Pelodiscus sinensis: one gene and its partners. The protein of the gene in region 4 interacts with the protein of the main gene of each other region in a pairwise test. Links are inferred from orthologs where the notes say so. Each region holds a gene or a part of one and is shown on either strand. Other genes may lie near its edges. The genes, in order: BICD2, KATNBL1, AMOTL2 and MFAP1.

The links.
Region 1: the proteins of MFAP1 (region 4) and BICD2 interact in binary tests that used the Homo sapiens proteins (3 or more experiments, as listed by UniProt). The link is inferred for Pelodiscus sinensis from reciprocal best matches to the Homo sapiens genes MFAP1 and BICD2.
Region 2: the proteins of MFAP1 (region 4) and KATNBL1 interact in binary tests that used the Homo sapiens proteins (3 or more experiments, as listed by UniProt). The link is inferred for Pelodiscus sinensis from reciprocal best matches to the Homo sapiens genes MFAP1 and KATNBL1.
Region 3: the proteins of MFAP1 (region 4) and AMOTL2 interact in binary tests that used the Homo sapiens proteins (3 or more experiments, as listed by UniProt). The two-hybrid records come from large-scale screens. The link is inferred for Pelodiscus sinensis from reciprocal best matches to the Homo sapiens genes MFAP1 and AMOTL2.

Annotation. Positions count from the first base shown.
Region 1 is NC_134721.1:31,014,164-31,022,154, forward strand, and holds the start of BICD2 (protein bicaudal D homolog 2), read left to right. Parts: upstream 1-4,983; 5' UTR 4,984-5,363; coding exon 5,364-5,603; intron 5,604-7,991. UniProt on the Homo sapiens protein: Acts as an adapter protein linking the dynein motor complex to various cargos and converts dynein from a non-processive to a highly processive motor in the presence of dynactin.
Region 2 is NC_134714.1:59,894,750-59,901,609, forward strand, and holds the start of KATNBL1 (KATNB1-like protein 1), read right to left. Parts: upstream 3,005-6,860; 5' UTR 2,834-3,004; intron 1-2,833.
Region 3 is NC_134720.1:1,016,528-1,024,182, reverse strand, and holds the start of AMOTL2 (angiomotin-like protein 2), read left to right. Parts: upstream 1-4,640; 5' UTR 4,641-4,792; intron 4,793-5,879; exon of another isoform or gene 5,880-6,208; intron 6,209-7,655. UniProt on the Homo sapiens protein: Regulates the translocation of phosphorylated SRC to peripheral cell-matrix adhesion sites. Required for proper architecture of actin filaments.
Region 4 is NW_027466027.1:125,064-132,259, reverse strand, and holds the start of MFAP1 (microfibrillar-associated protein 1), read left to right. Parts: upstream 1-4,182; 5' UTR 4,183-4,286; coding exon 4,287-4,365; intron 4,366-4,694; coding exon 4,695-4,914; intron 4,915-6,580; coding exon 6,581-6,710; intron 6,711-7,196. UniProt on the Homo sapiens protein: Involved in pre-mRNA splicing as a component of the spliceosome.

The DNA of each region.
Region 1 (7,991 bases), on a different chromosome or scaffold from region 4:
TAATAAAATCAAAGGAGTTAGTAACATCAGCTTATAACACTGGTGTAAGATCAGCAGCAGTTTGGTTGCATGTAGTGCATGCAATGGGGGGTTTAAAGGAGCATCGCATATGAAGAATTGACATGAATTTAGAGGAAAAATAACGGAGTGTATAAAAGGATAGGTTTTGGCTGTTAAGGGTGTGTGAGGTTTTCTAAATTAAGTCAGATACATACAGGTTTGCTGTTAACACAGAACTCAAGGCATTTTGAAACTTGAAAACTAAAGGAATATTCGTTAACTGCAGCAGACTGTTTACATGAAACTTTTGTTTGTCATCTTCAGGCAAATTTGTTACAGGGAAGAGAATTTAGGCATTACCTCACTGTATTCACATGTCAAATTCAGCCTCTCTAGATGAGCCGTGCAGAGTTTGGATTGGCACAAGCTCCTCAACAACACATTAGCCTTGTAGTCATGAAGCCACCAAGCTAACTTCAGACATTAAAATACTTTATTAAAGAGGCATGTTTTTATATGTACCAAGGTGGATTTGGATGAACGTAGGTACTTAGAAGATTAAAGCAGCCTGAAAAAGCCCTAGAGCTGTAGGCACTGCCCATGTAATGTACTATGTTCTAATCCTCATGTGTGCTCAGACAGGTAATTGTTTTTCATTATGTTTGGCATTTACCTGCCAATTCAATACCAATAAAATCTGAGCTGGGCCTGCTGCAGTAAAGGAACGTCAGGCAAGATCTGAAGCTGACATGCAGAGGGCAAAATAGTGCTCTCAGTTATGCACAGGGCATAACATTTTTCACAGCTCGGATGATGTATCTAGGTCAATATACGTTTTTGTTGTAGGCCAGGCCTATGAGCAGAATGTGGTCAGGACAGTTAGCCCTACATCACGGCTTATAAATTAATTCTACTTATTGTGGAAAAGTAATTACGGCATTCACTGTGTCCTGTTTACTCTTTTTGGTAACCATCATACTTTTATTCATGTACTTATTGCGGCATCTTCTGTGGGGTAAGGTCAGTGAGGACTGTCCTTCCATTGTTGCCAGCTACTCTTCTTGCCTTTGTGGGGTACTGGCATCGATGGGCGAGCACCTGGAGATTGATGTATTGCATCTGAGCAGATGTGATAAATCAATAACCAATGGATCAACCATTGTAGCATCAATCCCCAGCATAGTAGAGACAAGCCCTTAGATACTTATATAGCTCTCCACATTCCTGTAGTGCCTGAGCACTCTACACTCTTCAATGCATTTATCCTAATATTAATCCTGTCATAAGCCATTATTCCCAGTTGGGGGATGGGGAACTGTTAGATGGAGCCACTGACTTGGGAGAGATGAAACAATGGAAAAGGAAGAGATCTCCAATCTTCCTTAGGCACATGGAGGATTTACTGGGCACAATCATCATGGGTATGTCTACACTACCACCCTAGTTTGAACTAGGGTGGTTAATGTAGGCAACTGGAGTTGCAAATGAAGCCCGGGATTTGAATTTCCCGGGCTTCATTTGCATATTGCTGGGCGCCGCCAAAATGTCCACTAGTTCGGACTCCGTACCCGCGGCTACACGCGGCACGAACTAGGTAGCTCGGATTAGGTTTCCTATTCTGAACTACTGGTACACCTTGTTCCACGAGGAGTAACGGTAGTTCGGAATAGGAAGCCTAATCTGAACTACCTAGTTCGTGCCGCGTGTAGCCGCGGGCACGGAGTCCAAACTAGCGGACATTTAAAAATGGCGGCACCCGGCAATATGCAAATGAAGCCCGGGAAATTCAAATCCCGGGTTTCATTTGCAACTCCGGTTGCCTACATTAACCACCCTAGTTCAAACTAGGGTGGTAGTGTAGACATACCCCACATTACTCTAGGTGGGGAAAATTATGGCAAGATGTTTGCTTTCATCTTGTAATTTACTTGCTACCTCATTCTTATGGCCACCCCTGTGCAAAATGGTAAGAGGTCCCCTCCCCTCAGTACTCTGCCAAGTGGCGAATGGTACTCAGTCCTGTGTAGCCATGACACTGTCCTCATCAGCTGTTACTGCTGTTTCTTCCTCCATGCAGCTGGCTGTGATGTTCTCTGGTTTCTGGTGCTCCATCCAAAAAAGATCAAGAAGCCAGGAGATAGCTGATAGCTAGGGAAGAATGCTAAGGAATTCATTCTCTGCCATCACTAGCTGATGCTAATGTTAGATGATGTTGGGCCATTGAGGCTGAAACTCTGGCTGGCAGTTAGGTGTGCAAATGTGGTGAGTGGCCAGTGAAAATCCTGAGCCATATTCACAGCTTCATAGGTCTAAATATGCTACTGCTATGGTGAAATACTAATCATGAACTAATAACTGTACAAAGTATTTAACAAAATTATACCGAGCAAGTAAGATCTTGTAACTTCTGCAAATGTGCATTGCTTATAAAATTCCTTTCCTCTGCATTCTAGTCAGTTGCAAGCCTGGTCTCAATAATACATCTTATGTCACTTACATAGCAAGTTGATTTAGGCCCCACTCCAGCAAATAATTTAAGCATGTGCATAGCTTTAAATGTGAGGAGTTCTATTAAATTCTATGGACTGACTCGTGATTAAAGTTATGCATGTGCTCAGGTGCTTTGCTGGATCTGTATCTTTGAGACAACATAAAGTTTGGTCATGTGTTCACCTTCCCTCATTCATCTTAACTCCCGTATGTCCTTCTGAAAATCTGTAAATAACGATAGTAAAATAATAAAGATGTTAACACAAACATCTAAAAAAATATTGTGCTCCCTGCAAGCTGCTTACCTTTCCCCTTGTTTTCTGGTGTTTCCTTTCCAGCTCTACTCCATTCCACTGTCTGTTGTCATTTCCCCTTTTGTGCTTATCTATTTAGACTGTAAATGCCTGGAAGCCAGAACCTGCTTTCTTATTTATCTGCCCAGCACCATGCTCATCAGTGACTCTACATAAAGAAATAAACAAGCTGAGTGAAAGAAGAATTATACAAAGACCCCAAAGGTAGCAATGTAATTGCCATGACTACCTCATAAACAAGTAGGGTTGCCAGATATTTTCACAAAAAAATACTGAAAAAAATTGGTTGAGGAAAAAAAAGAAAAAGAAAAAGAAACCCCCAAACAAACAAAAAACAAACAAAAAAAACTGGGGGACCAGTATGTTCTGTTTTTTTTTTTTTACTGGACAGAGTCCACAAATACCAGACACCTGGCAACCCTATAAACAAGTGCCCCCCAAGTCAATAATAAATACCTTTACTTTTTAATTTCAAATGACAACATCAGCAAGCATGACAGTTCAGTTATAAATATAGGGAGGAATCTATAGCAACATTAGAAGATCAACAAAAACAATTAGAGGTCTAGAGAAAATATGACCTATATCTGAGGAAAGTCAAAAAGAATTGGATTTGTTTAGTTTGGAAAAGAGAATACTGAGAGATGACATGATAGCAGCTTTCAAATATTTAAAAAGGTGCTATAAGGAGGAGGGAGAAAAAAATAGGTCCAAATCCAGGCAAGCCAGGGGCTACATCCAAACCCCAGGCCTCAGATTCCACACCCCTAATCTAGATAGAGGTAGGTCCTGCCATGAGGGCAGGGAACTGGACTTGACCTTTTGAGGTCCCTTCCAGTTCTAGTATTCTATGATTAAAGGTACTCCTACTTGAGTGAAAGCCTTACAGTACAACTGTTGAAACTATTCCTTGTAACTAGTTAATGCTATCAGAATGCTATAGATCACTTTTAGTTTTTTTAACAATGAAAGAAACAAAGCCAGCACCCTGAAGAAGCATGCATAGTATGCAAGAGCAAACACATGCTTCCATTGTTGCAACCTTTGTTCTCTCTCCTCCCCCCATTCTTTGTAGCCTTCTCTCTTTGTTACTTCTTATCTTCTAGTTAGTAGGCTCTTTAAACCCTTTCTTAAGTACATAGTATTCATTCAGGCAAACATTACCTTTTACTTCACTGGGACTAAGGAGTGAACGGTTTCAGGGGTGGAGAACCTCAGGCCTTGTAGCCAGATGCTCCCCCCCCCCCACTTGCCTGGATCCTGCTCCCCTCAGGGCTGGAGCACACAAAATCTACTAAGCTTGGCCTCCCAAGATTCTGGTGTGCAAGGGGAATGTCTTTCTCCTTCTGAGTTGGCAGCCACTGTCAGTGAGGGTTTTGTTTTTGTTTCTCACTTGTGTGCTGCCCCTGACTGATTTTTGTGTGGGTCAGTGACCCCCAAACCCAAAAAAGTCCCCCACCTCTAACTTTACAGGCTTATGCAAGACCTTGATCCTGGAAAGACCTATACATATTACAAGTTGCATCGACTTCAGTATGTACTAGCACATGCCTAAATCCATGTCCCAGGTCCCCAAAAGATGTATTGTCTTTTGGCTGAGACAATACTGGGTTTTATTTGTAAAGTGCCATACACAACAACAGCACTGTATACACCAATCAATGAATAAATCAACACAGAACTACAACAAAGAAGTCAAACAGATGAATATGACCGATGGTGATGAAAATATTTTTGGGGGAGGGGCGGGGGGAGAGAGGTTTTGTCCTGTTCTGTTTAAAAGCCAGAGGGCTGCGAGTTATATACTAAGTTCACTTCCAATCACAGACAATGAGTCCGATTCCCAAAGCTATTTAACTGCCCAACTTCTGCTGATTTCACTTGAGTGGCCCCTGTTTGCAATGAACAGCAACCTACTGTATGACCTTCTGCCCCCCGCCGCAAGAATGCAGCCACCTATGTGTAACGCAGCCTGTAGGGGTCACTGTCACAAGTGAAAGTTGCCCTGATGCCGAAGAGGATCCTAACCCAGCCCCCGCTGCCAGCTTCTTCCCCCAGCCAGAATTCCTCCAAGAGGCTGGGCTGCCTTCCAGCTGGTCTGCCCGCCCTGTGCATTGTGGGACTCGTAGTCCTCTCCGGCGCAGGCTTGCTTGGCGCTAGGGGGAGGCGGGACTACAAGTCCTACAAGGCCCGCGGGGCAGCTGGCGCTGGCCGTTCCTTTTGAATGATTTCACTGCGCTGTGCCTGCCCAGCGCGTTTCGCAGCAGCCTGCCGGAGGAGGCAGGGAGCATGGTGTAAGGGCCGGGCGGGGAGGGGGCTGCCGCCGGGGACGAGAGCCGCCAGCCTAGCGCCCAGCCCGGTTCATGGCAGCCGGGGGAGCTGGCAGCGCCGCAGCGGGGCCAAGTTGTGCTGGCGCAGGGCGGCCCATGGCAGCCCAGCGGCTGCGGGGCTGGTAAGGGCGCTGCGTCCGTCCCCTCACTGCCCGGCTCGCCCCGCAGCCCCCCTCGCTGCGCTGCCCCGTCGGACGGGGCTGGGAGGCGCCGCGCCCGGCCGGCCGAGATGGCTCTGGCCACGGAGGAGGAGGAGTACGCCAAGCTGGTGATGGAGTCGGAGCCCGAGTGGCTGCGGAGCGAGCTCAAGCGGCTCTCGCAGGAGCTGGGCGAGACCACCCGGGAGAAGATCCAGGCGGCGGAGTACGGGCTGGCCGTGCTGGAGGAGAAGCAGCAGCTCAAGCAGCAGTACGAGGAGCTGGAGGCGGAGTACGAGACCATCCGCTCGGAGATGGAGCAGCTGAAGGAGGTGAGCCGCGGGGTGGTGGCCCGGGGTGACACGCCGGGAGTGGGCAAGGCAGGGAGCGCGGCGCAGCGGCCGCAGCACTGTGTGACTTTGGGGGGGGTCCCCTCCGCCTTGGGGGTCCCCTCAAGGTAAAGCCGCTGCGGAGCCTGGAGTGGCTCCTGGGGCGTGGTCCTCCCCCCCCCCAAAGGCACGCAGGACCGATGATGCACCCGCAGGGCTGCGGCAAGGACTGGCTGATCGCTGCCTGCCACGCAGCGGTGGAGATATGGCGGGGGCGTAGGGGATGCATCGCTCCTGGGAGCTGCTCTGGCCGGTCTGGGCGCGCGGGTGGATGTGATTCCCCCTCCCCGCGAAGTTTGGCTTCAGCTCTCGCTGGGCAGCAGCTGCGGGCTGCATCTTCCAACTGGGCTGGAGCGCAGCATCCTGCCCAGTGCGGTGTCACGGCCAGATCCGGCATCATCACGCTCATCACTGCTGGCGTAATGCTGGGCAGCCCTTTAAAGGGACAGCTCGGCAATTCCTCTAAGACCCTCTGCCCTTCCCATGACATCTGCTGTGTCTTCGCTCAGCTGGGCGCCAGGCACAGGAAAGCGGATACTTGAGGCTAATGCGCTGGAGATCAAGTGCCAGTCTGGGACTGAGTGTGCTCCGTGCAGGGGGAAAGGAATAATGGAAGTGACCGTAATTCTGTTCTTTGCTGCATAATGGTACACAGCCCAGGGCTCCCACAAAGCACCTCTTACATGAACCCAGTTCCCTGACTGTGAGGTGCAATTTGATATTGGAATCAATTTTTTCTCTCAACTTTCCCATCCCCCAGATATACACTGTTTTGTGAATTGCATTATTTCAATCTGGTTGTTTATAAACGGGATAAATATGGGGAGTGAACTATGAGTTACATTAAATAGATTTCCCCACCTAAGTACAAAGCTTTAAAATAGTATTTTATTTTAAAGCAGAAAATTTGTTGAGAGATAACTGTTAGGAGCAGGCCTTCTTATAATAGGTTGAATAATTGATATTGAAATATTGGCTACTGAGCATTCCGAGGATCCTTTCTGCACAGTGCTGAGGGGTCTCTAATAAGTTATCCTTATAAGAAACAGTCTGTAAAGACCAGCAAAGGAATGAATGGCTCTGCATGTGTAGAAATGCCATACTCGGTGCCAAAGATCCACCTACTGCTGAGCCGTTTGACACACTGTGTCAGCCATCCATGTTAGAGCTTTAATGGGACATGGAGCTTCCTGGCAACAGAGCCAAAAGTGCAGAAATAAAATAATTGGCCTTTTGAGCATTAAAGTGTAAAGCAGAGGCGTGTCAGCATTAACTTGGAAATTCCTCGTTGTTGCTGGATTGCCTTAGGGCCAAGTGCAGGCCCCTAGCTTTGAAGTTCCTCACCTCACAAGTGAATGGGTCAGGGGGAGCTCTCACTTTTCCTACTGCTAATTGTTCCAGGCCCTGGAGATCATCTTCTGCAACAGTAGACTGAAGGGAAAACTTCACTTGGCATGGTGATTATAGGGTAATTACAGTGAGGTTTACTTCTTCTCCCCTATCACTCAACTAGGGGTGGGGACAGGTAAATATGCTCCTCAACCCCCCAGGCTCTGTAAACAAAGGCTGGGGAGTCCCTTAATCTTCAGCCAGCAGTGAAGAGACAAAGCACTTCTTTCCATGAGTCCAGGAGTGTTGCTCTTCATCTGTCCATGTTACAGGATGCCCGTGAGGGCAGAGAGCAGCTGTGTTCACCTATTCCTCTGGCCCGCTCAGCACCAAAGATCTAATCCTCCACAGGGTGAAAATGGAAGAGCAGAGGAGTGGAAGAGAACCAGAGAGCTATGGGAGGGCGGGCCTAGGCTGAAGTGGCATAGGCTCAGATCACATGGAGAAGCGGAGGAACTGTAAGAGGCTGGAGATCCAAGAGTGGAAAAACAGGGCTTGAGCGACCAGAACTCCTGTTGAGGGGGGACCAGGTACCTAGGAGAGTAGGGATCGAGCTCCTGCAGAAAGGATTTCTCAGTGCTCATTTGAAAGTATGGAGTTCCTGGGGATGTAGAGGGAATGAGGTGGAAGGGCATATGATGCAATGCAGGGCAGTGAGGAAGAGCATACAGATGCTCTTGTCTGTGGCCAGACTGTATTGGGCTATCTCTCTCTCACAGGGTCCTAGAGCCAGAGCCCAGGCCCCAGCCTGGAAGTCTGCTAAGCAATGAAATGCCTGTCAGCCTGAGCCCCATGAGCCTGAGTCAGCTGGCATAGGCCAGCTAAGGGTTTGTCATTGCAGTGTAGCCATACCCAAATTTGTTTCTGTGCAGGTCTGAGCTTGTTTAAAGCAAACCCCAACTTAAGCTTTTTCCCATCAATAGGATTGTTCAGTCTCTTCAT
Region 2 (6,860 bases), on a different chromosome or scaffold from region 4:
ATTATTTGTGTCCTGTCTTCTATGGGGATGTTAATTATTTAATATAGTAACTGGTTAAACATTAGGAATAAATGGTTAGTCTCGGAGCAGCCCCTGTGCCCCGCCAGTTAATCGGATACCCATAAGCATCGCCCAGTAAGGATGATGTTAAGCAGTTAACTCTTTTCATCTCTAGTCCTCTACAAGCCATCCCTTTGATCAACAAGTAATTTATACAGTTGCCACAATTCCTGGCATGGCACCCCCGAAGTCACCAACGCAGCTTCTCTGACCAAGGGTGTGGAAATTAGGGTTTAGATCTAGGCTGGGCAAGATGTGGCCCAAGGACGAGATCGAGCGCACCTAACACTTGGATCCCACCCACAGACTGCATCTGGTCACTTTCTATTTCTATTCTGCTGCCCAGCTGTGGCTCAGGTATCAGGATTCTATTTAAATGGCTCCCGGTCACAGAACCAGACCGGCAGGGGCTGAAGCCATGAGCCTTTTAAATAGATGTAGCAACTCTAGGCAGCTGCCAGGCCACACAGCAACAGCAGGGCCAGGAGCCACGAGTCCTTTGCAGTATTTTTACTTCAAAGCCTTCAGCCCCAGACAAATCTGGTGGTAGGCTAGTCCCCAGCCCCGCCCGTTCTGCCCCAGGTAGGGATGTTAAATTGTGTTTAATCAATTCATCGATGGAAATTCCATCGACTAGTCAATTACTTGATGGGGGAGTGACTAGTAGAGTCACTATTCAACTATTTGATAAGCTTATGCTTATTGTATAGTTGATTAGTCACTTACATCTCTACCGCAGACCCCATGGTCAATACCAAAATTCATTAAGTGATCAGCCTATGAAAACGATTGCCTACCTCGGGTTTAGAGCCAGGTAGATCTTAGATACAGTCATGCATTTTACTCAGAAAACCATGCATAGCCTATAAAATGCTAAACCCCTACAAAAAATTTTCAAGTAAGGCTATATCTAAGCTATAGAGAAGAAGATCAATGCTGCTTGAAGACCTGCTAAATGGGCTGCCCTACTGCATACCTTAAGAAGGCCTTTGGCTGTAGTGTAAACCTGGGCTTAGATAGTGTATTGGCATCTTTGAGATATTATTCAGGGCATTACTAGCAAAAGTGAAGACACAGATTTAACAGATTTTTAAAATTTTTTACACATTGATAACTCTGTAGTAACTGAGACTACTAATTTTCATCTGTGTTACAGATAATTGAGTAAAAATATAAACAGATGCACGTCTCACTGGCTCTCCTGCAAATATGATTACTATAAACTACAATTCTCAAATACAAATTTAGAAATTCAAGCTAATGCTCATTTTACCAATTCCATAACATTATTTGTACACAGACCCATCAACAACACTGTAGATCAATTTTATTTACACTGGGGATACAACTATCTTGAATAGAATAATTCTGCTAGTGGCTTTTATCTGTTCTATTTGTTCCTTTGAACAAAGAATACTAGCAAATTACAAATTTTATTTGCGATTTTATTAAATTTTCTTCAGAACACCCAGAGTGGCATCTATTTACTCCGCTTAAGGCAGAGAGCTTAGGAGGAATGGAAAGAGGGGAAGGTGCTTAGAGGGGAAATTTATATATAACCAAGAAAGGACTGTAACTATTTTAAAATACATATAGATTTGATGTCTGTCTGTATCTGTGCGAGTTTCTTCATATGGTTGATGGACCATATATAGATTTGAGGCAGTTCTAAAAAGTGTAATATACATCACAATGAAAAAAGTTATTTTTGCAAAATAAAAATATAGTTCCAAAGTCTTAAAAAATGTCAACTATTATAAGTTATATCATTTGTATTTTCTCTAACTTTGTTTGGACAGCAGGAATTAAATCTAAATATACTGAATGACGCTAATGCAAGTCATGTATTTTACTCAGAAAACCAAAACTCCCTTAGCAAAGCAATACAGTCTCCAGAGCCCTGAAGTGTGTTTTTTCCTCCCAGCGGTGAAAGTAACTTAAAGCTTCTTATAGATACTGTCCCATCGCAATCCGGGTCTCTACAACTCTTTAAATAGCTCCCTGCTGGTTTTTGCCGCTGGAGCTGCACACCAGGGCACACCCGCTTACTTTCACCTCTATTTTCCCCCAGGAATAAGACACCAATTTCACTCACTAAACAGAGTAAATAAGGGCAAATCGCAGGATATGCGTTCCAGCCGCCCTGGTAGCTCCTACACCTTCACGGATCTCGTTTTAAACTGCGGCTCATCTCATCACCCTGCTAGGAAAGGACACTCTGCCCAATCTCGCGCCTCTGGGGGGCGGACACTGTCCCAGGTAAAACGAAGGAGCCGTGTCACTAATGGCACGTGTAACGTCTCCCGGCAGGGGGCCGCCCAGAAAGCGGGCGCACGTAGGGGCTGCACAGGCGAGCAGCAGACGGTGGCGGAGACAAGAGGCGCCGGGCGGCTGTCGGGTCAGCCCACGCCCCGGCACACACCGAGCTGCGAGGCCTGTGACAACACTCAGAGACGTGCCAGGAGAGTATCCCCGCCCCAGCGGCACCTGTCCAGCCGGAAGAGACGCGGCGGGAGAGACCCTGCCTGTCAGCCCCTCCCTCCAGGGACCATGCCTGGCACCAGCCACGGCCTAACGCCGCAGAGGCGCCAGTGCAACCCCGGTTGAGCCCTGCCAGCGACCCCGGCTGAGCTGCGGGCCGGGCGCTCGGGACGCCTCCCTTGCGGAGCCAGGCGCCCGCGCTGCCCGGCCCAGGGAGCGGCCCCGGGCTCAGCCCCAAGGGAGGAAGGGCCGTGGCCGAGAGCGGGCCCGAGAACCCAGCCGCCCCACTCACCCGCTGCTCATGGTACCGCGCTGCTGCGGGCCAAGCCGAGCCGAGGAGGCGGCGCTGATCCGTGGCAGTCCTAGCGCCGGGGCCCACTCCGCGGAGCCTGCGCCATTCAAACTGCGGCGCGCTGCATGCCGGGCCGGAGAGAGCCGGGGCGGGACCGCGCCCCTCCCCGCCGCCGCGTCCCCTAGGGGCGGCCGCGGGAACTGCACGCGCCAGACCCCTGGCTCTGGCCGCCTCAACCTCTCCCCGCGCATCCTCATCACCGCCCCGGACAGCCCGCTGGCCCTCACTGCCCTGCCTGGCCCCAGCCCCTCCGTTGGCATCATTGCCCCCCCCCCTCAGATTTGACGAACCCATCCTCAGCTCTCCCTCAGGCTCCCTTCTGCCCTACCCCACCCAAGGTTCAGCAGCTGTGCCCCCGCTTCAGTGTCACCCTCAACACTCCCTCCCGCTGGTGCCCTGACTTCTGCCCCTGAGTCACAGCCTCAGCAGTTCCTCATCTACCCCTCAAAGTCCCACCATCCCCACAATATACCTTCATCTGTCTCCCTCTCCCCTCTTCCAATGACCCTCAAAGCATTTCAGTGCTAACTGAATCCCTTTAAGCAACATCAGCCCCACAAGCCCCTCAGTCTCATTCCCCTCCCCCCGAACCCACTTTCAGGGAATTTCCCTGCCCCCAAATACCCAACCTCAGCCTCCTCACTTCCACACTTCTCTCAGGCCATTGTGCTGTCTCAACAACTCCTCCCCCCCCCCCCCCAGTCCCACCATCCCATGACTTCTCAGATAGCGTCACTCCCTTCCTTTTGCCCAACTCATCTGATGAAGTGGGTTTTGCCCAGGAAAGCTCATGATCCCGTATATTTGTTGATTTCTTAGGTGCCACAAGACTACCCCCTTCCTTTGTCTCACTGCCACCACAAACACTCCTTTGCCAGTCTCAACCACCCCTCCAGCCCAGTGTCTCACTCCCCTCAATTGTTCCACTATGACGTCCCCTTAGATCACCTCATTGGCCCTCAAATTATAGTGGTTTCTATTTTTTTAGGTTTAAAATGACTTTTTGTTGGAAATTAGCATTATTACAAAAAGTTTGTGTTTCTTTTACTTTTTTGATTTTTCAATAAAATGAATATAAACATTTTTCATTTTTAATAGAAAATGTTTGTTCCTTATTAATTCTCTCTTCCTGCTTACTGATCTGGAGGGATTGGAGGGGGAAAGTAATTGAGTTGTTTCATCAAATCACTGAAAGATTTTGAAAGAAATGAAAAATTTTAGTTTCAGTGATTTTTTTTTGTTGAAAATACTTGTCATTTTCTGACCAACCCTTCTTATATTCTCACTGTAGACATAATTCTTTCAGCTAGCCATGTCACTTCAGCACCTTCTCAGGCAGTTTCTTCTTCTCTTCACGGACTCCATTAGTTTCATTTGTGTGAAATCCTGACCCCATTGAAGACAATGTCAGTTTTGCCATTAACTTCATTTGGGCCAAGCTTTCATCCTTTGTCCCCACAATCTTTGTTAACCTACACGCTCAGCTTCCTCCATGTTCTGCTGACTTTAGGGGTGGTTAAAGTAGATTTTTGTATTTCCCCTTGACAACAGTAGTGCTAAATCTGACCTTGCATGATCAACTTTGGGATCGTTCAGACACAGTTTTGGTAAAGTCGATGTTGTTGAACTCCAGGATGTGTCCCACTGTGACTGCTCTGGCCAGTACTTTCAACTCTACTACTCTCCCAGTACAGAGGAAAAGCCCCAGGAAATTTTGCATTTCATTTCCTGTTTTGCCACATGGCAAGCTCAGCAACACACCTCAGCAGCATACCTGACCATGAATGCCAGAGTCATAAATGAGCTCCAGAATGAAGCATGCAGGAAATCCTGTATCTGATTGCTGCACGAGGAGAGGAATTTTTGCAGGCAGAATTCCAAAGCAGCAGAAGAAACATTGATATCCAGTCTCACTGACAGCCAGGAGGCCAATCTCCTCCCGGGATGTATTGCTGTGGGACCCTGATGGTGGGGAGGGCACTTCTGGTCAATTCACTTTTGTAATCAAGTTACAGTGGGTAAATGTAATTGGATTTTTCTGTTTGCTCTGTCCTGAGAGGTATAGTGGCAGCCACTCTGCCTACACAGCATGGGCTCTCTGGTAAAGTTTGTAAACATATCTGGAGATGAAGCGGGAATCCTCCCTGTACATCTTAGCAACGCTCTCATAGAAGTACTCTTTAATTCTTCTCACAAGGTTTCTGGGAAGGCCTGCCTTATTCCGTTCTCCACAGTAGGCCATCTTTCCACACCAAGCTAGGAGTAAGTGATCTGGCATCATTGCAGCACAAAGCATAGCAGAATAAGATACAGATTTCTGAGCACATTCAGTCAGCATCCACTTTCTGTCATACTCTCTGATTTGGAGAAGACTGATATCACGCATGGCAACCTGGATGAAAAAGTGGAAGTTCTGTAATTGATAGCACTGAGGCAAACTGCCTCCTTTTGCTCATCTCTGGAAAATCATGACCCCAGACTTGCAGCCATCATTGTAAAGGGCTTGAAGGGATTATCCTGAAGAACAGGTTCACTCCACCTCTCCTTATGCAGGTCACTGTGGGAAGGGAGAATTGCAGTCTGCAGGTATAACAGAGGAGTGCGTGGGGAAAACACATGCTGAATGTACGAGCCTCTAAAAACCCGCCTGGTTCACCCACTTGCAGGGTTCCTCATGAATGTGGCCCCTCTTGCAAATGCAAATGCTTAGATAGCAATGAGGGCTGTAGTTTGCAAACACTGTCACACATATTTTAAAAGCATAATCAAAAGAGTAAGAATCTCAATATGCTGCTTACTATCCCTGCCACCAAACCAAGTCCATTTGCTCCATTCTGAGCTGTGTCTTCTACCTGCCTGATAGATGTTTAAAATGATATATTTGGCTTTGTACATACTTTATTCATACTAAGAGTTAACCTTTTGTGTCTTACAATGTATCTTCTCTAAAGTTTACCCTTGACTTTTTTCACTCAAGGTAGCTGCAACGATGACTCTGTTACCCACTTCTCTAGATCCACCAATACATCCATTGTCACAGATCAGAAGGCGAAAGAAAAAAATGTACATGGGATGAAATGTTAAATGGGCAAGTTCAAAATCCATCCACACTGACAGAGCTCAACAGAATGCATGGAAGAGAACGATGTTACAGATCATAAACGTCGAACAGGAGGAGAGGAGAGCATACACGGAACATGAGCATAGGATGTGAGATGAGACGTTGAGGTTTGTGGGGGAGCAAACAGAGCTGATGAGGTGCCAGGTAGAGATGCAAGAAAAGCATATGGAGCAGTGTCCCCTCTGCACCCAATGATAAACCACCTGCCCTCTTCACCAAGTTCCATAGTCACCTCTCCTAGGTGCCCTGGAATGCAGGGTATGGGGTGAAGTCATGGGAAACCATTCATTCAACTCCCAGGGATGTCTCCTAGACCAGAAGGCTTTCATTCCCACAGCTTTGATTGCTATACAAGGGCATTGTAATTAGGGATGATCGATAGTTTGTAATTGAATAGTTGTGTAACCTCATCAAATTTTAAAGGTTACACGACTATTCCACAGTCTCCAGGGGTGGGGCCAGAATCCAATACACAACCAGTTGCACTGCTGTGGAGTTCCCTGCCACCCCTTGCTGCTGCCCATGTATCAGCCTCCCCTGCCCCATGCTGATCTGTGTCTTCTACCTGCCTGACAGGTGCTTAAAATGATAGATTTGGCCTTGTACATAATATATGCTTTTTGTGCAGCACAGTGCTTCATTCATTGTAAGAGTTAACCTTCTGGTCTGGACCCCATGGAGAGAGGCAGCAGTGTGGAAGGGCAGGTGGCTCCACAGGAGCCCATACGAACAGGCTGCTGTCTTGAAAACTGGCTTCTTGCATGTACTGGCTCCTGCCTGCCCCCCTCGCCTTCTGTGCTGCTGCCTTTTTATCAGAGGCAGAAGTATGGGGGTAGAGAGGTCCAT
Region 3 (7,655 bases), on a different chromosome or scaffold from region 4:
GAAGAGCCACGCCGGAAAACGGTTTCTAAAGCGGCTTCCAGCAGCGTCCAGTTCAGCCCTCGTGAAGCGCTGGGGCTGCCTTGGGGCACCGCGTCTGCCTTGGCTGGAGGCCAGTGGGGCACGGAGGCAGCTTGAGCGACCCCACTTTACGCTGGCCGGGCACGTGATCACGGACGGGACTTCGGGACTCTGGGCAGTTCCTCTTCTCGGCGGGGTCGTCTACACTCGCGCTTCGCCGGCAACACTCTTGGTGCCCACGGGCGTTAACCCCCCCATTGGCGGCAAACGAAACTGGGAACGCTGCTTGGCTGGTGGGAACGCTCCTGCCGCCAGGCGAAAGGGGCCCCCAGCGCTCGCACACGCCCACCTTCCGCCGCCAGGCTGCGTGCCCAAAGCGGCCTGGCGCAGACACCGTAGGGCCTCTGAGAGGCAGGAGTCCAGCTGGCAGAGGATTCCTTCCCCGTCCTCGACGCAGCTACACAGGGGCCAGCTCGGCCTACCTGGGGCCGTGGTACAGCGATGTCGTTGCATGGAGCCCGCCAAGGCAGGTACGTGGGCAAACTGCCCCCTTCAGCCACGTGCTTCGTCTCAGAGCGGGGAGCAACGTGCTGGCGCTGCCCTTCGCCATCTCTCCCGCAGCCACCGGACTGTGGCCACGGAGCCCTGACGCGCCAGCCTGACGGCGGGGAGGATTCCCTGCCGGTTCCCTGGCCGTGGGCAAGGGTGTGCAGGGAGCTGTGGGGCCGCAGCGAGCTGGGCTTCCTGTCTCTCTTCTCTCCTCTGGGCCCCCACGCCGGGGCTCTGCCGCCATCTGGGGCCCACGGGCCCGTCTTGGGGGGCCGACAATAGCCCCCACGGGGGCCTGTGGGACACAGTGGGGAGGATTCCCACGCCAGCCCCTGCAATGGGGCTCAAAGGAAGAGGAGGTGGGGGAGGGGCCGTGGACCCACACTGAGCTCTCCAGGGAAGGGCCGTTTGGTCCTCCCCCCCGTTTGTGACAGATGGGCCGCACCTGTCAGCCGGGGAGGGCGGGAGGGAGAGGCCAAGTGCCCTGTGCGGGGGGAGGGGACAGGGAGAGGAGCAGATGGTGAGGCAGGGTTCAGCAGGGTTGTTTGGTCTTAAAGACAATGAAGCGTCTCTCCTAACTTGGATTGCACAGGAAGATTTATTCCCCTAGACAGCTGGCAAGCGGCCTGAGTGCTTACCCGTCAGCACCGGCCCCCACGGCCCGCCGCACGCTCCCTGCGCTCTCCCTGACACACAGCACGACCGCCGCACGCTCCCTGCGATCTCCTCCCCGACACAGCACACGTACAACCCGCCGCACGCTCCCTGAGCTCTCCCTGACACACAACCCACTGCACGCTCCCTGCGATCTCCTCCCCGACACACAGCACGACTGCCGCACGCTCCCTGCGCTCTCCTCCCTGACACAGCACACACACAACCCACCGCACGCTCCCTGAGCTCTCCCTGACACACAACCCACTGCACGCTCCCTGCGCTCTCCCTGACACACAGCACGACCGCCGCACGCTCCCTACGATCTCCTCCCAGACACAGCACACGTACAACCCGCCGCACGCTCCCTGAGCTCTCCCTGACACACAACCCACTGCACGCTCCCTGCGATCTCCTCCCCGACACACAGCACGACTGCCGCACGCTCCCTGCGCTCTCCTCCCTGACACAGCACACACACAACCCACCGCACGCTCCCTGAGCTCTCCCTGACACACAACCCACTGCACGCTCCCTGCGCTCTCCCTGACACACAGCACGACTGCCGCACGCTCCCTGCGCTCTCCTCCCTGACACAGCACACGTACAACCCGCCGCACGCTCCCTGCGCTCTCCCTGACACACAGCACGACCGCCGCACGCTCCCTACGATCTCCTCCCAGACACAGCACACGTACAACCTGCCGCACGCTCCCTGAGCTCTCCCTGACACACAACCCACTGCACGCTCCCTGCGATCTCCTCCCCGACACACAGCACGACTGCCGCACGCTCCCTGCGCTCTCCTCCCTGACACAGCACACGTACAACCCGCCGCACGCTCCCTGAGCTCTCCCTGACACACAACCCGCTGCACGCTCCCTGCAATCTCCTCCCCGACACACAGCACGACTGCCGCACGCTCCCTGCGCTCTCCGAGACACAGCACAACCGCCTCACACTCCCTGCGTTCTCCTCCCCGACACACAGCACACGCACAACCCGCCGCACGTTTCCTGCGATCTCCTCCCCGACACACAGCACACTCACAACCCGCTGCATGCTCCCTGCGCTCTCCTCCCTGCCACATAGCACAACCACCGCACACTCCCTGCGATCTCCTCTCCAACACACAGCACATGCACAACCTGCCGCACGCTCCTTGCGCTCTCCTCCCTGACACATAGCACGACCGCCACATGCTCCCTGCAATCTCCTCCCCAACACACAGCACATGCACAACCTGCCGCACGCTCCTTGCACTCTCCTCCCTGACACATAGCATGACTGCCGCACTCCTTGCGATCTCCTCCCCAACACACAGCACATGCGCAACCTGCTGCATGCTCCCTGCGATCTCCTCTGTCACCCAGAGCACACGCACAACCAGCGGCACTCTTGCTCCATCACACACACATGCACACAACGCACCTCCACACGCCACCAGCTGCTAGTGATCTGCAATGTCTTCACACACACACACGCACACACACAGAGCCTGCCTGGTAGCGAACTCCTGGGTTTCACCTTCCTGATCACAGTGGTTCCTTCTGACTTTAAAGTCTGTGAGTCAGTCACACTTCCAAGAACAAATTTCCATGTGAACCACAAGGTGTATTTATCCTCCCTCCCATCATCCCCGTGGGGAAGGGCAGGGCTATTGTCTCCATTTTATGGATGAGGAACTGAGGCACAGAGAGGCCAAGTCACTCACCCGGAAGTCTGTGGGACAGCAGGGAATTAGATCCTGGCCTCTTCAGGCCCAGGCTAGTACCTTTCCCACTGGATGGCTCATCCTTTCCCCAACCGGGAAACTGGAGCCTTCCTTCAGAAGACAGTCGGGTCAGTAACAAACTCACCGTAGTAGCAGGCACGGCAGACGTGGTGCTTTCGGGAAGGTTGCACAATAGCATCCATTCTAAGCCCCCTTTTTACATTGTGACCATGTTCCACACCCGGCCTTGCCGTTGGGCTCCCATGTTTCTGAGTTCGGAGGGGCTTTGAGATACACGCCCTTGAGTTGGGCTTCTCCTGGCGCTGTAACTAGGAGGCTACCCCGAGTCGTCACGTCCCTGGAGGGGAAGCATGTTTTAACGGACCATAAGGCCACGGGCCCAGCCCTTCCACCGCCCTGCTGTGTGGCCTCATCGTTGTGCCTCTGTTTCCCTTCCCGCTGTAATGTAAATTCTCAGCTTTTTTTGATCTGAGGAAGTGGGTCTGGCCCACGAAAGCTCATCATCTAATAAACCATCTCGTTAGTCTTTAAAGTGCTACATAGTCCTGCATTTTGCTTCAACTACCCCAGACTAACACGGCTACATTTCTATCACTATTCTGGAGCAGGGGCTGTCTCTGGGTATCTGAGCAGGGCCTGTCTCAGTGGGCGGTGGTGGATGCTGCAGCTGGCTGCACACCGCAGATGGCAAGTAAATGACCTGGCTTAGAGACAAGAGGAAAGGTCCCAAAGCAGCCAGGGCTGAGGAGTTTCTAAGTTGCCAACTTCCCCAGGACTGGCCTGGGGGTCTCTGGACCATGTCATGGGATGAAACCCTTAGGAGTAAATCACAGAACTGTAGACCTGGAAGGGACCTCGAGAGGTCATCGGGTCCAGTCCCCTGCCCTCACGGCAGGGCCAAGCGAGATCATCCCTGACAGGTGTCTGTCCAACCTGCTCTTGAATAGCTCCACCACGCAGGTGAGGCCCATCCTTGACCAGCCAGGAAAGGAGCTTATAGGAAAGTTCAAGACGTTCAATATCTGTCCTAGAACGCTGTATGGCCGTGCTTGCAGAAGGGAAGTAAACGAACAGATTGACATGTGTAGGATTTCAGCTTCAAACATTCTTGATTGGATTAATTATCCATTTGAATCAGAACCTCGTCACCTTTCCAGTACTCTTTCGGGAACTAATTTGAATATTTGTGATTTGTAACAGTGGCCTTTTCTTTGCGCTGGAATGGCAGTTGAACGGGCCACTGGATTTTCCTTTTGTTAGCAAATATCTGTGATGATCTCTAAGCATGATCGTTCTGACTTTTTTCCCCCGTGAAAAGCCAGACCCATTCATTCCCCCTTTCCCCCCGCATTAAGGAAGGTGTAAGAAGTGGCGCAGTCGGCTACTGGAAGGGGCAGGATTGCGGGTGGGGCCCGCAGGTATTTGCCAAGTCTGGCTTCCTTCTGCCCCAAGCAAGCCCCCGCAGACTCCTCCCAGCGCAGAGGGGATGCCCAGGCTCCCCAGCTGGGGGGGTTTCCTGACGTCCCGCCTGACCCTCCCTTGCTGCCTGCGCCCCGCGGCCGAGGAGAGCCCTGCGCCCCCTTCCCGGCGCTTGGCCTCCCGCACGATCCGCGAGGGCCGTGCGCCCGGGCCGGCGGGGAGCCGCGGCGGCGCCCCCTGCAGGCCGCGGCGGGGCCGGCCGGGGCGGTGCTTGGTGGTTCGCCCGGCCCCGGGGGAGCCTGAAACTCTCGCATTCCTGGCATAGCGGCGCTGGCAGGCGCGGCGCGGCGCTCAGTGCCTGCCGGCAGCCGCGGGGGCAGGAGCTCGGCGAGCTGCGCGGAGCCAGCCCGGGCGGCGGTGAGTCTGCGCCCATCCCCGCGGTGTCGGGCTCCGGGAGGGGGAGCGCCCCGGCCGCCGCCTGGTCGCGCTGCCTGCCGCGGGCGCCCCCTCTTCCCCGGCGGGCAGCGCCCGGAGCAAGTGGCCGGGGCGGGCAGGAGGGCTCCCGGCGCACAAAGGGGCTCCCGGCCTGGGGAAGACCGGCCGGGCGGCTGCGCACACCCGGCTACTGTCGCCTCTGGTTGTGTGTGTGAGTGTGTGTCCGTGTGCGCGTGTCCCCGTGTCCGTGTGTGTGTGAGTGTGTGTGTGTCCGTGTGTGTGTGAGTGTGTGTCCGTGTGCGCGTGTCCCCGTGTCCGTGTGTGTGTGAGTGTGTGTGTGTCCGTGTGTGTGTGAGTGTGTGTCCGTGTGTGTGTGAGTGTGTGTCCGTGTCTGCGTGTGCCCGTGTGTGTCCATATGCATGTGCCCGTGTGTGTGTGCCTATGTCCGTGTGTGTGTTCGCCTGTGTCTGTGTGTGTGTGTCCGTCCGTGTGTGTGTGTCCGTGTGAGCATGTGCGCGTGTCCCCATGTCCATGTGTGTCCGTGTGTGTGTCTATATGCATGTGCCCGTGTGTGTGTGCCTATGTCCGTGTGTGTGTTCGCTTGTCTTTGTGTGTGCGTACTCGTGTGCACAAGCCCACGTCCTTGTCCCTATGTGCATGCCTGTGTGTGCCCATGTCCTTGTGTGTGTCTGTGTGCGCGTGTCCGTGTGTGCCCGCGTGTGTCTGTGTGTGCGTGTCCGTGTGTGCCCGCATGTGTCTGTGTGCGCGCACCCCGGGGGCCTTTGGAAGTGACCCTCCTCGCTCAGGGCCACATTCGTGCCCACGTGTAGCACACGACAGCCGAGGGGCTGGGATAGGACATACCACAAAACAGGGCTCGTTCTCGGGGGCCTCCTTGCCCATGTGCCGGTGTGGGCGCCAACAGCGAACTTGCTGATTCCTCTTGGCATTGCCCTCCCAGCTAGAACAACTCACGGGGTTTGGCCTGAAGCTTGACGCAGGCTCGGGCCCGGCGGGGTGATGCTGAGGGCAGCAAAGGGCAGGAGGGCAATAAATGAAGGAAGCGACCACATGCAACCCAGGAGAGGCCGGGGATCCAGGCCCGAATGCTCCCTACCAGGGCCAGCTTGGAGCCCAGAGGGCGCGGGTGGGTGAGGAATGTTTTCTCCACCTTCCTGGCTAGCGAGTCATGCTCCTGACCCAAGAGTTCAGACTTCCTGGCTGCACCAGGGCTTGTGAAAGGGGAGGAGTGTGGGGCTGTTGTTTTGGTTCACCCGAGGTGGGCTGGCACCGCAGAGGGCATTCAGCCTGGCAGCCGGGCTCGGAGAGGGAGGATTTCACCGTCAGGGAAGACCCGGTCAAGAACCTTTTGTGTTGGGAGTCAAGCCAGTCTTTGAGGTATGTTTGTATGAAGCAACAGGAGATTAGCATCTCCCTCTGCCAGCCCGCATGCACTAGCATGAGACTGAAACAGGTGATCAGATGTCTACTCAGGAATTCACTCGCTTGGAAGTCTGTGCGCCAAGGCATCTTAAAAACAAGGCTGCAACTTCCCCGGCTGGCATCCCTCTTCAGCCAGTGCCTAGCCACACGCAGCCCTGCTGTGATTGCCAGAGAGCAGTCAAAAAAGTGAGGAGAATGTTTTGAAGGTCCCCTCCCTCCCCCGGGTTTCTCCGTGCGCAGCCGGTTCAGTAAGATACATTTGATATTTACACTTTCAGTAGCTGGGTGACAAGCATCCACCCACAGGCGGCCAGAACGCGCACAGCTGACAGGCTCTTGAAAATCGGGTTGATTTTATGTCGCGTTTCACTGTAACGCTGTTATTATTGTGCATTTCTCCAGGGGTGCGACGGTAAAGCTGAGCCCTTTTGACTTGCTCACCCTCACTTTGTGAGCCAAATTCCCTCCCATTGTAGCAGGGCGGGTGTTTGTCTGTTTAAAACCGTGAGGTGTGCTGGGAATTGGTGGAGATGTGCGTTGTGGAGTTTTAAGTTTGGTCGGAGCTTTACACGGTCTGAGTTTGGGCTCCCGTTGGACAAGTCTCCCGGAGTGAGATGGAAAGTCCTGGAGACTGACTCGGGATGTGTGGGTTTCACAGGAACTAGGAGCCGTCTCGGCCCAGGAACGTGGGTCTGCCAAGGCTAGGGCCTTTTGTGTGACGTGTGTCTCATGTCCTCAACATCCTGCGTTGGTCTCCTGTGCGGGGTCATGACTTGGTCTCCGCCCCGTGAACTGAATGAATTTCTTAGAGAGCAGCCACAGCTTTTCCCCGCCTGCCTCGCCTGGCGCGTGGAGAGAGACGCACTCAGCGCACGCCTGCACTGCCGGGCGAAAGTCGAATTAAGATAGGGAACGTCAGCGACGTCAATTGCGTCGCTGTCGTTGAAACAGCTCCGTCTGGCTTTTGGTGCTGTCTGCGCGCACTCGTCCTTCCACTTCCCTCGCTCCTCGTGAAATGAGGGTTACAGGAGTCGGAGGAAGCCGTCCTCCGTCTCGAAATTAAATCGAAATAACGGCTTGCTGTGTGGACGCACACCTTGTTATTCCACAGTAATGCTGTTGTGTGGACGTGCACTTTGTTATTCCAGAGTAACACCGCAGTGTGGACGTGCACGTTGTTATTCCGGAGTAACGCCGCAGTGTGGACGCGCACGTTGTTATTCCGGAGTAACGCCGCAGTGTGGACGCGCACGTTGTTATTCCGGAGTAACGCCGCAGTGTGGACGCGCACGTTGTTATTCCGGAGTAACGCAGCAGTGTGGACGCTCACGTTGTTATTCCGGAGTAACGCTGCAGTGTGGACGCTCACGTTGTTATTCCGGAGTAACGCAGCAGTGTGGAC
Region 4 (7,196 bases):
TGCATAAATGAAAAGGTGAGGGGAAAAGTGCAGCCAGAACCTCAGTAAGAGGTTCTGGAGGAGCCGGAATAGGGGCTGCACCCTGGCGCACTCGAGGTAGGCGTGGGCCAGGTTCTCCCTCACGCCGCAGAAGGGGCAGGTGTCCAGGATAGGGGTGAACCGCCCCAGGTGTCCAGGATAGGGGTGAACCGCCCCAGGTACACACCCGTGCTCACGGCTCCATGAAGGAGCCGCCAACTGATGTCTCCGATGGGCCGCGGGATTAAGATGGAATAAACGCCGGCCCCTCGGGGTTCCCCACCCTCAGTGGATCTGAGGTCGTCCCGCCACTTGGCATGGGGGCGGGACACGCGGGTGGGGAAATGCAGGGTGTGGAGCAGGAGCGTGTGCAGATGTTCCCTGGGCGCGGTTTGCTGCAAGTTCTGCAGCCGGCTGGGGGTCCAGGGACGGGGGGGCCGATAAAAAGGGACGGGGGGGTTGCAGGAGGGGAGGGGCGGGGCGCAGGGACGGGGGGGTTGCAGGAGGGGAGGGGCGGGGCGCAGGGACGGGGGATTGCAGGAGGGGCGGGGCGGGGCGCAGGGACGGGGGGGTTGCAGGAGGGGAGGGGCGGGGCCCAGGGACGGGGGGGTTGCAGGAGGGGAGGGGCGGGGCGCAGGGACGGGGGGGTTGCAGGAGGGGCGGGGCGGGGCGCAGGGACGGGGGGGTTGCAGGAGGGGAGGGGCGGGGCGCAGGGACGGGGGGGTTGCAGGAGGGGAGGGGCGGGGCGCAGGGACGGGGGGGTTGCAGGAGGGGCGGGGCGGGGCGCAGGGAGGGGGATTGCAGGAGGGGAGGGGCGGGGCGCAGGGACGGGGGGTTGCAGGAGGGGAGGGGCGGGGCGCAGGGACGGGGGGTTGCAGGAGGGGCGGGGCGGGGCGCAGGGACGGCGGGGCGCAGGGACGGGGGGGTTGCAGGAGGGGAGGGGCGGGGCGCAGGGACGGGGGGGTTGCAGGAGGGGAGAGGCGGGGCGCAGGGACGGGGGGGTTGCAGGAGGGGAGGGGCGGGGCGCAGGGACGGGGGGGGTTGCAGGAGGGGAGGGGTGCAGGGACGGGGGGGTTGCAGGAGGGGAGGGGCGGGGCGCAGGGACGGGGGGTTGCAGGAGGGGAGGGGCGGGGCGCAGGGACGGGGGGGTTGCAGGAGGGGAGGGGCGCAGGGACGGGGGGTTGCAGGAGGGGAGGGGCGCAGGGACGGGGGGTTGCAGGAGGGGCGGGACGCAGGGACGGGGGGGGTTGCAGGAGGGGAGGGGCGGGGCGCAGGGACGGGGGGGTTGCAGGAGGGGAGGGGCGGGGCGCAGGGACGGGGGGGTTGCAGGAGGGGAGGGGCGCAGGGACGGGGGGGTTGCAGGAGGGGAGGGGCGGGGCGCAGGGACGGGGGGTTGCAGGAGGGAAGGGGCACAGGGACGGGGGGGTTGCAGGAGGGGAGGGGTGCAGGGACGGAGGGGTTGCAGGAGGGGAGGGGCGGGGCGCAGGGACGGGGGGGTTGCAGGAGGGGCGGGGCGCAGGAACGGGGGGTTGCAGGAGGGGAGGGGCGGGGCGCAGGGACGGGACGGGTTGCAGGAGGGGCGGGACGCAGGGACGGGGGGTTGCAGGAGGGGCGGGACGCAGGGACGGGACGGGTTGCAGGAGGGGCGGGGCGCAGGGACGGGGGGGGTTGCAGGATGGGCGGGGCGGGGCGCAGGGACGGGGGGGTTGCAGGAGGGGAGGGGCGGGGCGCAGGGACGGGACGGGTTGCAGGAGGGGCGGGACGCAGGGACGGGGGGTTGCAGGAGGGGAGGGGCGGGGCGCAGGGACGGGACGGGTTGCAGGAGGGGAGGGGCGGGGCGCAGGGACGGGGGGGTTGCAGGAGGGGCGGGACGCAGGGACGGGGGGTTGCAGGAGGGGAAGGGCGGGGTGCAGGGACGGGGGGGTTGCAGGAGGGGAGGGGCGGGGCGCAGGGACGGGGGGGTTGCAGGAGGGGAGGGGTGCAGGGACGCGGGGTTGCAGGAGGGGAGGGGCGGGGTGCAGGGACGGGGGGGTTGCAGGAGGGGAGGGGCGGGGCGCAGGGATGGGACGGGTTGCAGGAGGGGTGGGACGCAGGGACGGGGGGGTTGCAGGAGGGGCGGGACGCAGGGACGGGGGGTTGCAGGAGGGGAAGGGCGGGGTGCAGGGACGGGGGGGTTGCAGGAGGGGAGGGGCGGGGCGCAGGGACGGGGGGGGTTGCAGGAGGGGAGGGGTGCAGGGACGGGGGGTTGCAGGAGGGGAGGGGCGGGGTGCAGGGACGGGGGGGTTGCAGGAGGGGCGGGGCGCAGGGACGGGGGGTTGCAGGAGGGGAGGGGCGGGGCGCAGGGATGGGGGGGTTGCAGGAGGGGCGGGACGCAGGGACGGGGGGGTTGCAGGAGGGGCGGGGCGCAGGGACGGGGGGTTGCAGGAGGGGAGGGGCTGCAGGCCGAGAGCGGCTGCTCCTGGAGTAGGCGCAGGGGGCCCGGGGATCCCCCCCCGTAGTCCAGAGGGCCTGGGCTGTGCCGCGGGCTGGGCGCCGGGGGGGCGTGTGCCAAGGCCCCAGGGAGGGCAGGCGGGGCTGGGGGAGCGCCCCCCCCCGGCTCTGGGCCCCCCCCGGCTCTGCCCCCCCCCTCGGCTCTGGGCCCCCCCGGCTCTGGGCCCCCCCGGCTCTGGCCCCCCTCGCTCTGGGCCCCCCCGGTTCTGGCCCCCTCCGCTCTGGGCCCCCCCCGGTTCTGGCCCCCCCCCCGGCTCTGCCCCCCCCCGGTTCTGGCCCCCCTCCGCTCTGGGCCCCCCCCCGGTTCTGACCCCCCCCCCGGCTCTGCCCCCCCGGCTCTGGGCCCCCCCGGTTCTGCCCCACCCCCCGCTCTCGGCCCCCCCCCCGCTCTGGGCCCCCCCCGGTGTTGCATAAATTGCTGGTTTCGTCCCCTTGGAGGCTAGTCTGATTTACCCCAAGAAGAGAGTCACACTTTCAGGCTGGGTCCAACTCAAGTTTATTGGTTGCAACCAAGGTACGGCTAAGGAACTCAATGTTCAAAGCAGAGCCGACCCCCAACATCTCATAGGCAGGGGTTTTTATAGGGTTCACATCTTTCCTGGTTTAGGTGCCTTAACATGATAGGTTACTTCATCTTTGACATTTAGCATTCCTATAGGTCAGGTTAATTTTCCAAATGAGGTTAAATACAGTGCCTACTTGCTGAACAATGGGCGAGCCATACTTCCCTTTTCCCTTTCCTGCTTGAGCCGGTCACAAGTTTAAAGGATGTGGAATCTATCCATATCTCCACTTAACAGAAGACTGGATTCACCTCCCCTCGTCTCCTTATTACAAGTTATTACCTGTGACAGGCCTTGACCTTTGTCATGTCTTACTCCGATACAAATAGCAAATATATCTAAGCATTAGCAATGTATGTATATTGTACGTGCCCCTCATAGGGGAATCAATGGCTCCGGGGGTTTTGACTTCCCTTTTACACATCACCGGTTCTGGGCCCCCCCGGCTCTGGGCCCCCCCGGCTCTGGCCCCCCTCCACTCTGGGCCCCCCCGGCTCTGGCCCCCCTCCACTCTGGGCCCCCCCCCCGGCTCTGGGCCCCCCCCGGCTCTGGCCCCCCTCCACTCTGGGCCCCCCCCCGGCTCTGGGCCCCCCCGGCTCTGGCCCCCCTCCGCTCTGGGCCCCCCCCGGCTCTGGGCCCCCCCCGGTTCTGGCCCCCCCCCCGGCTCTGCCCCCCCCTGCTCTGAGCCCCCCCCGGCTCTGGGCCCCCCCGGTTCTGCCCCACCCCCCGCTCTCGGCCCCCCCCCCGGCTCTGGGCCCCCCCCGGCTCTGCCCCCCCCCCGCTCTGGGCCCGCGCTGCAGGCGGATGCGGGGCCGGGGAGCCCCGGGGCAGCGATTCCCGCCGCGCATGCAAATAGATGCAAATAGATGCAAATAGCTTCATCCCAGCGGACGAATCGCGGCCTAAGGGCAGCGCCCCCTGGCGGGCCCCGCCCAGCTACTGCCAGGGCACGTGGCCGAGTCTCCAGGCACCCGGGGGGGAGGGGTCGGGCGGCGCGAGGGACCCGATTCCCCCTCCCCCCGGCAAATCAACAGCCGGTTCCGGGATCAAGTCCCCACCCGTAGTGACGTACTTCCGGCCAGCGGGCGCCTGAGCGAAGACAATTTCCGGGTCGTGGCTGTGACGCTCGGCTGGTTCCGGTTCCGGTTCGGGGCGCGATCGCAGCCGCTCTTGTCGGTGTCGGAGGGTCCCGAGTTCGGGCCAGAAGCCGCCGCCATGGCCGCGCCCAGCGCCCTCATGAAGCAGCCGCCGATCCAGTCCACGGCGGGGGCCGTGCCCGTCCGCAACGAGAAGGGTGGGGGGGGGCTCGCGCGGGGGGCGGGGGGACATGGGGGGCTCGGGCGGGGGGACATGGGGGCGCGCGTGGGGCGGATGGGGGGGCTCGCGGGGCGGATGGGGGGACATGGGGGGGCTCGGGCGGGGGGACATGGGGGCGCGCGTGGGGCGGATGGGGGGGCTCGCGGGGCGGATGGGGGGACATGGGGGGGCTCGCGCGCGTGGCCGGGGGGATCTGGGGGTTTGCACGCGGGAATTTGGGGGCTCTCACGGGGGGGCCGGGGGGCTGTGGTCCCCGTGGGGCCGGGGCGTTGAGGTCTGGTCTGGGGTAACCCCTCCCCCTGGCAGGTGAGATCTCCATGGAGAAGGTGAAGGTGAAGCGCTATGTGTCGGGGAAGCGGCCAGACTACGCGCCCATGGAGTCCTCCGACGAGGAGGATGAGGAGTTCCAGTTCATTAAGAAGGCGAAGGAGCAGGAGTTGGAGCCAGAGGAGCAGGAGGAGGATTCAGCCAGCGACCCCCGCCTGCGGCGCTTGCAGAACCGCATTAACGAGGATGTGGAGGAGCGGTAAGCCCCTGCCCATGACAGCCCTGCTTTAGATTGTGTCTACGCTGGCAAATGAGCCACAAAGGTTTTGTTGTTCATGGGCGTTTAAAAAAACAACCCTGACTGACGAGCCTTGTTGTAGCAACCGTTAGGGTGCGTCTGCACTACGCCGCTTTTAGCAGCAAGGCTGTGTCCACACAGCCCTGTGGCTAACAGTCAGCTTGTGAGAACGCTGTTGGTACTTTTGTCAGCAAAATACTGCCACCTCCAAGGAGGTTTTGCTTTGTCAGCAGCAGGGCGCTCTTGCTGACAAAGCGGCGTTTACACTTGCATTTGCCATGGAAAAACTTTGTCGTTCATGGGGGGGCGGGGGGGAGTTAAGCATCCATGGATGACAAAAGTTTTATCAGTTGAGTGCAATTATAGATGCAGTATTAGGGTAAAAAGTGCTTTGTTGGCAGGAGTGCTCGCCAGCTGATAAAGCAAATGCTGCTCTTGGGGAGCGAAAGTATTTTATCAGCAAAGGTGACTTTTGGCAACCCAGCCACGTAAGGTAGACAAAGCTTCAGTCAGACACACCGCCCATGGTGTCCGGCCCGCCTGCCCTGATGTACACTGACAGCTGTAGATACACCTTTGTTATATTTTCAGGAGAGTTTCTCTTTGTGAAAGACCTCCCTTTGGAGATGACTCTGCCAGAGTGCTGTCCAAGGGACTGTGTAAATAAACTAAAATATGAATAAAAACATGGAAAGAAAGTTTTTTGTTGTGGTAGCTACACTTTGCATGAGTCTTTTGTGGAAATACATTTTTCAGGTGTGTAACTTTTTGGAGTGTCCCTTTTTTGTTTTCCCCACATCTTAAATTGAGGGGTCTGAGGAGGAAAAAACAGCTTTGTGCATTGGCACAAATAATTCTTTAGATGTAGATTATTGCAGTTAGTAAGCAAGTTCTGAAAGGTGTCATAAGTGGTACAGCTAGCTCTTCACAGGAAGGCAAAATCTAGAAAACAGGACAACATTCTTGTATGGAGATAGGGAGTATTATATTACTGAATCTCATTGAGAAAAACAGATAGTTGAGGTTTTATTTAACTCTTCTCTAGTCAGTAATTCATATCTATTCGGAGTAGCCAGGTCAGTTCTAGAATTGCTTCAGTCTTTAGCGTAGCCAGCGAAGAAGCAGGAGGATCCCAATGGAAGCTGTGTTTTCTGCAGTGGAAGAAACAGGAAAGTCTGTTCTGGAGCAATCCACCTACTGCTTCTACTGATGCCATGTAAACCAACCTTCTGAGAAGAATTTTACTTTTTCCAGGCTTTGCTGTGATCACTGTGACTGTAGGCCAGGCACTCACAGACTGTCCATGAGAGTTCATGCTGTAGCATCATATTCAGAAGAGCTCTGGTTGTTACAGCATGATTATATTTAGGATACTGGTGGGTCTAGCCGCGTTTTGTAGTTACTTGAACAGCTGAGATTAGCATGTGTTCAGTGTGGTGTACTGAGATGCATCTTTGCTGTGGTTCCTGGAGCCAGAACAGTGGGGTCTGGAGGGTTAGGACAAGGCCATTGTGTAGCTGGAAGCGCTGGCTTGGATGTGTGTGTGGGGACTTCAGTTTGTAGATGGGCCATGCCTATGTCACTGCTTTGTGGTAGCTGAATTGCTAACTTTGGTGTCTGTGCATAGACTGGCAAGGCACCGCAAAATTGTGGAGCCAGAAGTGGTTGGAGAAAGTGACTCAGAGGTGGAGGGAGAAGCTTGGCGTTTGGAACGGGAAGACACCAGCGAGGAGGAGGAGGAAGAGATTGACGACGAGGTATGTGCAGATCCACAAAACATGCTGCAGATGCGCTGCAAGCTCCGGTTTCCCAGGATCTCTCGGCAGAGGTTCCACAGGGTGGAGGCTGGCTCCCTGCAGCAGGAGGCAGTACGAGGTCTGTGGGCAAATGGGACTGGCTAATACACGGCCGGTCTGTCGAGAGGTTAAAGGAGGGTCTACAGGTGGCCTTGCCTTGCCTTTGGGTGTCATGGGCTGAGAGGGACGGCTCTCTCGTGATCAGTAACCGATTAAAGGATAGGAGATGGGCTGTACTGGGTTGGGTGCAGTTCAACATTTGCAAGTCCAAAGCTGATGGCAAAGCCTTACAAAGGGACCGCACGGCAAATGCTTACTCGCGCAAAGCACGGAGACTCGGAGGCATCGCCATGGGATGCTGGTAGCCAAAACTAAAGCTGGGTTTTAATCTACCCTAGAGAAATCACTTCACAGAGGACAGGGCTGTTAGCCAAGCTGGCCAGGCAT